3 linked regions of the Danio rerio genome follow. The protein of the gene in region 1 purifies or fractionates together with the protein of each later gene. This does not show direct contact. Links are inferred from orthologs where the notes say so. Each region holds a gene or a part of one and is shown on either strand. Other genes may lie near its edges.

The links.
Region 2: the proteins of kifap3b (region 1) and kif3b purify together in Homo sapiens (co-immunoprecipitation; 7 studies listed by BioGRID and IntAct, counting the BioPlex papers as one, with this or other methods). This does not show direct contact. The link is inferred for Danio rerio from reciprocal best matches to the Homo sapiens genes KIFAP3 and KIF3B.
Region 3: the proteins of kifap3b (region 1) and kif3a purify together in Homo sapiens (co-immunoprecipitation; 9 studies listed by BioGRID and IntAct, counting the BioPlex papers as one, with this or other methods). This does not show direct contact. The link is inferred for Danio rerio from reciprocal best matches to the Homo sapiens genes KIFAP3 and KIF3A.

The regions. Positions count from the first base shown.
Region 1 is NC_133177.1:26,558,963-26,562,621, forward strand, and holds part of kifap3b (kinesin-associated protein 3b), read left to right. Parts: intron 1-2,088; coding exon 2,089-2,188; intron 2,189-3,462; coding exon 3,463-3,587; intron 3,588-3,659. UniProt on the Homo sapiens protein: Involved in tethering the chromosomes to the spindle pole and in chromosome movement. Binds to the tail domain of the KIF3A/KIF3B heterodimer to form a heterotrimeric KIF3 complex and may regulate the membrane binding of this complex.
Region 2 is NC_133198.1:7,795,758-7,799,416, forward strand, and holds part of kif3b (kinesin-like protein KIF3B), read left to right. Parts: intron 1-769; coding exon 770-888; intron 889-3,659. UniProt on the Homo sapiens protein: Microtubule-based molecular motor that transport intracellular cargos, such as vesicles, organelles and protein complexes. Uses ATP hydrolysis to generate force to bind and move along the microtubule. Plays a role in cilia formation.
Region 3 is NC_133189.1:28,240,063-28,244,401, reverse strand, and holds the start of kif3a (kinesin-like protein KIF3A), read right to left. Parts: upstream 2,883-4,339; 5' UTR 2,745-2,882; coding exon 2,739-2,744; intron 1,377-2,738; coding exon 1,094-1,376; intron 1-1,093. UniProt on the Homo sapiens protein: Microtubule-based anterograde translocator for membranous organelles. Plus end-directed microtubule sliding activity in vitro. Plays a role in primary cilia formation. Plays a role in centriole cohesion and subdistal appendage organization and function.

The sequences.
Region 1 (3,659 bases):
AATACAGTTTTAGCAAAAATAAATAGTAAACCACTAATATAATCTGTGCATTGCATTAAGCACAAAAATACAGTATAAGAAAAAGAATTATGGAGCTTTACAACGGTTAACCCTCTGACTATAGAGTACATATATACTATTAATATAGTAACTTCTATAAATAGTTGACCACACATACACATAATTGAGACTTTACATTACATAAATGCTGAACCTTATTTTGTGGATTTTGATGGGTTGTGACAGTGAAAAATTATGTTGAAATTTCAGCTTTTTATCATAGGATAAGGTTATATTAAAATTGTGATTTATGAAAGTGGTATAAAAATGTAAAAAGAAAAAAGTATAGTTGTTAAAAAGTGAATAAACAGTACAAACTGTGTCTTCTGAGAACTTTAACAAAGTTCATACAAAATATTCTGAAGCCAGTTATATGCTGTATGGAGTTTCATTCAGTGTCAAAAATATGATTTTTAGTTAAAGGTGCCCTGTACTGCATTGATTCAGTAAGATAAGTTTTTTTTTCTGTGATATCTAAATAATAGGGAAGTGCCCTAATTAAGTTAAGTTTAAAAAAAAAAAAAACTTTAGAAATGGTTTTATATGCTCATTTACTACTCCACAAAATGCCCCAAAAATCAGAAGCTCTATATTGACCATGCATGTTTGGAATGGTCGCTATCTGACACAGGTCTCAGGCCCCGTTTACACTAATACCTTTTAGTTTTAAAACAGTGTTTTAGAATGAAAATGATCCGCGTCCACACTAGCATTTTACCCAGCGTTTCTGAACAGCTCTTAGTCTATACTACACCGCTGTAAATGCACATCACGTGACCACACACACACTCTGGCATGCATTGCAGCGTGCTTTGAGCACATTACCCATATATGAGCTGTGCGCGTCAGACTGTTCATCAAGAATCTACTGCGGGAGCTAATCTTACTATATTTGTTAACGTGATATTTAATTAATCTTGTTGTCTATATCTAACCACATATTCCCAGACTTTGGACTTTTAAATCTATTACTTTTTATAATAGTCATAATTAATAATTAAACTTATTTTGAGCAAAAGAGAGGGTATATATCGTATTTTCAATAAAAAATGAAAGGAGGCAGTTAAGTTATAGGAACCATTTTGTTATAAATATGCATACAGTGAAAATGACGCTTATATAAATATGCTGCTACACAACGCCTCAACATTTTTGGTGTCTGTTTAGTTAATATTAAAATAAAAATAGGCAGTTCTTCATTTCAGGTTTTCATTTTATTGTTGAGAAAGTGAAACAACATAGCCGGGGTGATATGAATGAGGTTATAGAGTACACGTTTCCCTTTGAAGATTTACCCGACGTGTCCTCAGGAGTTTTTGATGTTTTCCATATCAAACTTTTGAAGTCTGAACTTACAAGGAGATGATGCAAGACTGAACTGTGTGTAAGCTACTCTATATACTGTCCAAACCGTATATCATATTGCCCTCACCCCACCCCTAAACCCAACCATCAGGAGACTGTGTGCAGCTTTACTCTCTGATTAAACTCATTCTGTAGGATTCATAAGCATTTTGAGAAATGAGGATGTCACCAATGTCCTCATATTTCACCTCCTTTTTGCAATACCTGTGTCATACCCATGTCATTATATAGATTTTTGTCCTGATATGTCACAAAAACACGTACAGACACACACACAAACACACACACAAACACACACACACACACACACACACACACACACACACACACACACACACACACACACACAGTGTGATGAACTGAAATTAAAATATTTGGTTTGTCAAAAAATATTTTAACAAACAATTTAAAAAGACTTATAAGGAGTGAGTGAGCTATCAAATATAAACCCATTAGAGTAAATCATTTTGATCCTGAGTTGTGTTGTAGGTAATAGCCGGTTAAGTAAACTTTTAAAGAGTGTTTTTGACTGCTTAATAACATGACAATTCTTATGTAAAACAAAATGGCCTTGAATACAAAAATGTATACAGATTATGGTTGTATTATAAGTGTATAGGTTTAATGTATACCAGTAATTAGTATGTATTAAATGTATTTCAGAAACTGCACTTGGAGCTCTGGCTCGCGTACTGAGAGAGGACTGGAAACACAGTGTGGAGTTAGCAACTACCATCATCTATGTATTTTTCTGCTTCTCAAGGTACACAATTTCTTTACAGTTTATTGCTCTTGACAACAGCCTTGCTGTTTTTTTTGTTTTTGTGGTGCTTTAACAGGGCAGCTTGCTGATGAATGCAGATTAAAAGTACTGTCAGCACTGTGAACTCTCTGAGAAGTTATGTCTCTAAATTCAACAGTTTTAAAACATAATTTCTACAACCAACAAAACAACTTCAAACTATATTTTGATTGTTTATGAGGACTTTGTGCAGTAATAATTCACAGACATGTGCTGATTCAAAACACACTAGAACGATAGGATTGTGTGACACTGAAGTAAACATGCTTAAATTTCAGTTTTCTTATATATTTTAAATAAATGCCAGGAAAGTTATATTTTAAAGGGATAGTTCTCTCAAAACGATTTTTTTTTTGTTCTGCTGAAAGATATTTAAAGATAGCTAGAAACTTCCTTTAAAATTTCTGGCCATCGTAACAAACCTGTAACCATTGACTTCCATTATAAATGTTTTTCCTACTATGGATGTCAATGGCAATAGGTTTCCAACATTCTTCAAAATATCTTCATTTGTGTTCAACAAAACAAAAAAAAACTAACTGCTTTGGAACAAGTCAATTGTAAATAATTCATGGCAGAATTTTCATTTTTGTGTGAACTATTTAAATTACTATACTATTCATGACAATATTTGTATTCACAGTTGTATTTTATTTTAAATAAATAAAAAATAAATGCAGCCCTGATCAGTAAAAAAAAAGCCTTCTTTAAAAACAAAACAAAAAATCTTTTGAACATTATTGAAGTGAGAGAATTACACAGCATATTGTATTTCAGAGCAGTAGTGCGATTTCTCTATTTAGCATTTTTCTTTCTTGTAATCATTCTCTTTTATAAGCCTTAAAGAAACCCGTCATACAGTACATTCTCAAAACATCTTTAGTGGCCGCAGATCAGGTTACTGCTTTTCTGAGATAGCTGTCAGCATTTATTCGAGCAATGCAAGTGTGCCTTCTGATTTGAAGGTTTTCCTTGGCCCTCACCATCAGATGGCTAATGTGGAAATTTCTTTCCGCGAGCGAGAATGACTTTGACGTTTGAAGGATGTATTTGAAATGTATGATGAGTTGTTTGGTCTGATCTTTCAGCTCTGTTTATTCACTAATCAGAACTAGAGTATGAAATTCATCTGGCACGTCAGACTCTGCATACTGGCCGTCGTCTAGATTGTATCTCTGAATGTGCCAGGAGAGGTCGAAGGAGGACAGGCCATCATGACTTTGTCTTTCCTGCAGTTTTTCTCAATTCCATGGGCTCATTACACATTATAAGATCGGAGCGCTGTGTATGAACGTCATCGAACATGAGCTGAAGAAATATGACCTGTGGCAGGACGAGTTGGAGAAGAAGAGCAAAGCTTATATCCTTTCTGTCAATCTCTCTTTTTTTAGCAAATTTTTAGCAAAAAAGCTAACAAAAATAGTTCAGACTA
Region 2 (3,659 bases), on another chromosome or scaffold:
ATATGCAGGTTCTGTTCACTAGAGTAGACGCGCGCGCGTCTATCATTAAGTTGAGCGGCCACGCGCCCTCTCTGTGATAACAGCTCACAGCCAGCAGCTCACGTCACGTGTGATTTCCCGGCCGCGAAAACATCATTATATGAAGTCAAAAATTACATTTTTAGGTGAATTATACCTTATAAATACATTATGTGACTCGTTCAACATTATTTAGAGGTGTCAGTGTCACTGAGCAACGTATGTGAAACAATAAACAGACCCGTGCAGCCGCCTTTTTTTCTCTCCTGAACTTGAAAATATGATTGACAGAATCGTAGAAATGCTGGATTAAGATCGTTAGAGGGTCGAATCGAGATCGCGATCTTTTAACGATTAATTTTGCAGCTCTAATCCAGCCTTATAAATGGTTATCCACGTTTTGCCAGATTCCAAGCTTTGACTGGCTTCTATGATTCTGTTCATGTTTTATGCATCGTACAAATCACAAGGCCCCTGTATATGATCTGTCGTATTATATCTTGGTAAAATGACATTATGAAAACCGCTTCTGTATGTGATCAGATGTATTATTAGAGTCTAGCTGTATTCTCTGGAGTCATTGATAGTAGGACAGCTCTCATGGCAGATCTCCAACCTCCTTGTTAAAATTCATCCATACGTGAATGAATTTGACCTCGTTTAGCTGGAGTTTACAAAGCGAATGCCTTGCCTATTCCTATGAAGAGCCTCATTTTATCATGTCCTGTTTGTTTTTGTGCCTTTCCTACAGCTCTTTTCCAAGCTTCAGTCTGTAAAGTCAGAGATTCAGGATGCCCAGGATGAGCACGTGAAATACAGACAGGAACTGGAACAGACTCAGAATGAACTGACCAGAGAACTTAAACTCAAGTATGTGAACCCATAAAACTCTTATTATTAGCATTATAGCAATATTTTACATTATGTACAATGGATATTCACTTTTATTTAGTTTCAGTGGTCAGTGTTTCAATGTGGAAGCTGAATTTTAAAAAGTAACATCTAAAACGTTTTGACCTAATTGAGTCTCGCTGATGAGACAAACTGCTTGGAAATCTGGACTCAGCTCTACTACATTACAGATGTCAAGAGTTTAATACACATACAGGCTGAGAACACTGTGGGTGGCCGGAGAGGGAGAGTATCTATTAAGAGGAAGATGTATCTGGCAGGCTGCTTTTGAGTGCAGTTGGCAGAATGAAATTTGGGTTAATGTTCAAGATAAGGAAAGATACATTTTTTGCTACAAGTTGTTTTGTCTACAATTCTCTCTCTGCCAAGATTGTGTTAGTTACATGTGGGTTTATACAACTTGTATACAATTTATAAGAACAACTTCATTTTCAAAAAATATGCAATATACACACACATTCTTAGTGAGGACATTACGTGGACCTTCATTGTTTTTTATATCAGGTTAAAGTTACTGTCTCTGGCCTAACTTCCCCTAATCCCAACCTTCACAGAAACACATGCCAATTTTCAAGCATATTTTGAAATTATTTTATGTAACATAAAATTTAGTTTATTCTGCAAACTACTGATGACATTTCCAATTAAACAATAAAAATACCATAAAATAAACAGAACAAACGAACAAAAAGGTGCCATTTTAAAACTTCTTTATATTGATTTTTAAATGACACAATCCCAGTGTTTTATCATAAATAGTTTAGTATTTCACATTAATATTTTGTGGAATCAGTGAATAGACTTCTATTTATATAGCCCTTATAGTATTTCACATTAATATTAATTCACTGTTTATAATAATATAGATATTATTAATATAATATTATTCACCATTCACTATTAATATTTTCACTATTTATATAGCCTTTAGTATTTCAGTAAATAGACTTCTATTTATATAGCCCTTATAGTATTTCACATTAATATTAATTCGCTATTTATATTAACATTAATATTATTAATATAATATTATTCACTATTCACTATTAATATTTTTACTATTTATATAGCCCTTATAGTATTTCACATTAATATTAATTCAATATTTATATTAACATTAATATTATTAATATAATATTATTCACCATTCACTATTAATATTTTCACTATTTATATAGCCTTTAGTATTTCAGTAAATAGACTTCTATTTATATAGCCCTTATAGTATTTCACATTAATATTAATTCACTATTTATATTAATATTGATATTATTAATATAATATTATTCACCATTCACTATTAATATTTTCACTATTTATATAGCCTTTAGTATTTCAGTAAATAGACTTCTATTTATATAGCCCTTATAGTATTTCACATTAATATTAATTCACTATTTATATTAACATTAATATTATTAATATAATATTATTCACTATTCACTATTAATATTTTCACTATTTATATAGCCTTTAGTATTCCACATTAATATTTGTGGAATCAGTGAATAGACTTCTATTTATATAGCCCACAACACTCAAGGTGCACAAATCCCTTTCTAATTAGAGCAAAATAAAAACCCCAGAAATAAATATATAAAAGTTATTAATTTTTGTTCTAAATGATAATTATAAAGTTAGAAATATAAAAGATAGTAAAGAACATGATACACCAAAAAGTTGCAACATTGAGTCTTAAAAAGTCATTTCAAATGTAGTTCTTTTATGGCCTGTTTCCACTGAGTGGTACGGTACGGTTCGGTCCACTTTAATGGCCGTTTTCACCTTTAAAAGGTACCAGAAAGCGAATCGTACCATAACATCTAGCACAACAAAAGGGTACCAAAAGGCAGAGTGAGACAGCAGCTGAACGCTATTTGTTTACAGAGAGACGTCACTAGCTCATTCACAAGACAGGAGAATGAAAACAATGGAAGCACCATTATTAAATACACAGCCAAGACATTACAACGTAACAATTTATACATATAATGATGAGCCATGGTCGACCCGAGTTCAAACAAAACCTTGTCGTCATTTTGATGAACAGCCATAAAGCCAAGAAGAGCAGAACCTGTGTGTGTTGTTGTGTACGAGGTCGTCTAAAGCGCCAGTGGGTTCACTTTCTCTGCAGAGCTTGCGATCGCTCGCCGCTCGTGTATATTTGAAATAACGAACTTTTTGAGTTGATGATAATAAAATGTGCATGATTATTGAAGTGCTTCTGAGATTCTTTCAAAAACGGATAAACGAGAGTGATGCGCAAAAAAACGAAGAAGAAGTCGGAAAAACAAAGGAGCAAATGATTCTTTCAGCAACCTAAAACATGAACAAACTGCCATGTTTAACTATTATCATCGCCTTTTGGACTATTATAAACTGGGAATGACGGAATTACTCTCTAGCAGAGCTTATATGTGCTGGTGAAGAATCAGCACACAGTTGAGAGGTTTGCTCTGGCTGGGCTATATGTTGTTTTTGAACCCAAAAAAGGACTAAATGTATGCTGTGTGTAGTTTTTCTGTATTTGGTAACAAATCAGAGACTGTAAGGGGCTGTGTGTGTTCATATATGTTGCATTTATGTATTTTATTTTAAATAATTGCAGATATTACAGTAGGCTGTTTATTAGGTTATTATTGATCTGCAGATATAATCAAATCATGTTCATATAAAGGTTAGTAATGAACATTTATACACAAGTATTTATGTGTATAAAGCATCTGGTT
Region 3 (4,339 bases), on another chromosome or scaffold:
GCCACGTCCCACCCTCTCTTAATTTTTCAGTTGCACATAATGCACATTTTAAAGCACTTCACGGGACCTTTAAGATTGAGTTCTTCGCTCATTCATCTCCGCTCTATAATATTGATGATGTGATTGTATCTTTTTCAATGACTAGAACATTTAAATCTGAATTAATTAGGATATTTCATAAGAGTGATGAACAACAGGAGATTTCTGATGTTTTCTTCTGGTTGCGCTCATATGTACAGTGAAACAAACTGTAACCATATTTCATTTCTAAGTAGTACAACTAATCAAATTACTTTGTTGTACTACTTTGAAAGACAGAACATCTACAGGTATATACATGCTGCATATGTAAGACAGAGGGAAAAAATTGCATCTTTACTTTTACGTCCATCAGGAATAGATTTATTTAATTATGTTAATGTTATTAACATTTCAAGCTCTACAATGTGAAAAGTCTCAGTAACTATTGTCCATATTGAACGATAACGATACTGTACATTTCAATAGAAGCTATTAAAGCTTCCAGATTTAAAAGAGTAGCCCAACAATCGCTGAAGCCACAAAAATTAGAGGATCCATTAAATGACATAGCATATTTTCAGATCGGTGGCCGAAAATTTAGTACATCTCTTATATCAGCACACTTTTAGATTCCCATTGTTGAACATTTCTGCTGTGTGATTGGCTCTTAGATCAATATAGAGTAAAAAAGGTCAGAGTACATCATTACTGACAAAAACTTTAGAGCGGTTTGATATAATATCGTTTATCGGCCCAGCCTTACTTGACTTTGTGCACAATAAGTGAATGCACAAACAACAGAATGAGAAGTTTTTTTGATTAGCAGATATAAGAGGCCTCACATTTTTTACAGAGCAACATCAAATCTTTAAACCCCTTACAGTATATCGCTTGTGCAATTTTACTATTTCTTGTTAAATATCTGATTCTGCATTATAACTACAACTTAATTGAGACAAATAGCAAATGGCAAGACTTTCCTAAAAAAAAAGTTGTACAACATTTACAAAACATGTACCAAAACATTTGTTATCTGCAAGATCAGACAAACAGACAAAACGGTTTTACTTACCATTGTAACCCTCTAATACGGAGTCTATGATGGGCCGTGCTGTTAAATTATACACATCCAGCTGTTTACTGTCTGGGCCGAACACTGTGTCGAAGGTGAACGTCTTTGGAGGCTCACTGCTTATATCAAGTTTGTTCACAGTGATGGTTCCTCTGATCTCGTCCACAGTTACGGACTGCTTGTGTCCCATTATCTTCTCCTTCTCATTGAGTGGACGACATCTCACCACCACTTTCACATTATCACTCACCTCCAGCTTCTCTGGTTTGTCCAGCTTATTGCTCTGCAAAAAACACATGATCTGTTTGTCAGCAATATGTAAGCAGGCCATAAATAAAAATCCAAATTCATTCATTTTCTTTTCAGCTTAGTCCCTTTATAGTACTGATGTCGCCACAGCGGAATGAACCGCCAAATTATCTAGCACGTTTTTATGCAGGGGGTGCCCTTCCAGCCGCAACCCATCTCTGGGAAACATCCATACACACTCGAACAATTTAGCCTACCCAATTCACCTGTAGCGCATGTCTTTGGACTGTGGAGGAAACCTGACCACCCTGAGGAAACCCACGCGAACACAGGGAGAACATGCAAACTCCACACAGAAACGCCAACTGACCCAGCCGGAGCTCGAACCTTCTTGCTGTGAGGCAACAGCACTACCTACTGCGCCATCACGTCGCCTATATAGATTACTTATTTACGCTAAATGTTTCTCCCTAGCTGTGTGTAGAAGTTTGCTGCTGCCATAAAATTAAGTTTAAAAGTCTGTCTTTCTGAATAGTCAGAATTATGATTATGAAATATAATATTCACTTTATTTCTTTCTATTTTGTATGACAATTATGACGTTTTCTCCTGTTCACAAAAATAATGTAATGGAAGAATATGCTACAGCAAGTAAGTTTTTAAGTAAGTTTTAAGTAAGTCGTTAACCTTCATAATAAAAGTGTCAAATTAATATTTGAGTGTAATTTAGGATGACAAAATGTTATTTCATTTAAAGAAAATTAATTTAAATGTATCATTACAATTGATCATGCTCGTTGAAAGAAGAGATTTATAATTATTACATTTGTTGTAAGCATAGACTGTAACATATAAGCTATATGGGTTCTCTTGTACAATAAAGGTCACTGGCTGTTTGTGTATTAAATAGGTGATGTGGATTCAAAGCTGTTGCTAAGCAGCGGGTTAGACCGCCCGGCCTGCTAACAGCTAATTTAACAGACAACAAAAAAACACGTTCATTTTTTCACAGATAACACAGCTTGTGGGCTGTAGTAATCTTGCCTGAATCAATTTCAAATGAGTCTAAAAGTAAATCTGGCTCGTTGATAAATTTAAATATCGTTAAAGCCCACGAGCTTGCGGCGAAGCTAATAACTAACGTTAACGTTAGCAGGCTGCTAGCTTGAGGTGCACAAAACCTTTCTGGCCATTGGAAGAACAAAATCATCTCGTAACAATTAAACGCATCATAAAACGGAACAATAGTAGTAAAACGCAAGGCATAAAAGCCTGTCAAATAACAGTCTGTGAATATTTGCATGAAATTCCGGTTGCAAGCAAAGGAATGACGGGAAGGTGGGGCATAACAACACATATTATAATGATAAATGAAGATAAGAAATGACAGTCTTACCGGCATTATCAGACGCGGGTTTGTGAGCCTTTTTTGAGACCCAAATAAACGTTTTTTTGTGTGTTTGAAATGATAACCGATGAGCTCATTCGGGTGGATGATGTATTTTTCCAGCTCAAGCGCCCATCCCAACCTGCCCTCTGTAACTGGACATGCGCGGATATCCGCGATCCTGACTTCACCTCGGGATATACATATTTGTGTTTATCCACGTTTAACCTCTTTCATTTTTTCTTATTGAATTTAAGTCTCTCATTTCATATCTGATGCAGATAAAAAATGAATTTAATACGGCGCCCTTCTATTTATCCACGTACACCATTTGTGTTGTTTTGATGTTATTGATACGTTTTCCCTCTTAACATATATACATGTTAACAATTTGTTTTGTGATTTATTAAAGATATTGGTAGTTTAATGCTTTATCTTTTTCCCATCTATAAATTAGTTATTATTAATAGAGACATTCTTTCAAAAACATATACATGTTCACTAATAAAAAAAACGTAACAGGGTCTAACTTAAGCTTGTCCTCCTTCAAACAAATCCTACAAAACAAAGCATAAAATCATAAAAATCGATGATAAATTGCATCCTTGATCACTGTCAGCTTCTACTCCATCAAATGACGTCACCAAATGAGTATGAATGAATGGCACATTCCTCTACAGAACAATTCACAGGAATCAACCATCAGTCCATTTAAGATTTTTTTTTTTGATAAAATCCTTTTTTCCCCACTGTATTTATGTTATTATTTCAGAGACAAATGTTTCTGGTATGCCTCGTTAATATTAATCAGTGGATCAATGCACTAAAAAGAAATAATTTCCTCAGCGTGATTCTGTTGTATAGGCTTACACACACACACACACACACACATTAATGTTAATAAACAGAGTGGATTCTGAAATGTGTTTTGTTGCTTTTTATTAGTTTAGGTTTAGAGTAATAACTTTCCCAAAATTCCAAAATAAAAAATGAAATAAAATAGGAACTGAAAACAGGAAAGTTATAGAATACAGTTGTCAGGATATACTGTATTTGCTATGATGTTTCACACAACAAAACATTTCCACTTTTACTGTTTTGAGACATCAGGAATTTGTGCGTAAAAGACAATCTTATGTAAAGGCCCATTCACATCATGAACAATAACTGTTGTATTAAAGTGCAATAGTTGTCTGAATTGGATCAAAACATTGCACCACCAATGTTGTCCTAAAACTATACAACAACATTCTCTCAGGACAATTTTGAGAATCGACATGACTATAATGATAAAGACACAGTGGAATGATATTGGCCCGATCTCAAATGGCACACTTCATTTGTACTTGAAGTTTGCTATTGAATCCCATTTTCTCTGCAATGCCTTACCACAGGACATATTCTTTTTAAGATTTTTGTTGACACTGTGATTTCAACATTCTCAAAAAAGACAAGGACAGCCCCATAACTGGATGGCCGTTGTTTCAATGCACAGTGGTGGGGTGTTAAAAGAAAAATCTATACATTCCACTATGCTCTTTTTTTTTTAAACCACAACTGATTATGCTTAGTGTGTACAGCTAAATTTGGATCTTTTATTTTTGATTTAA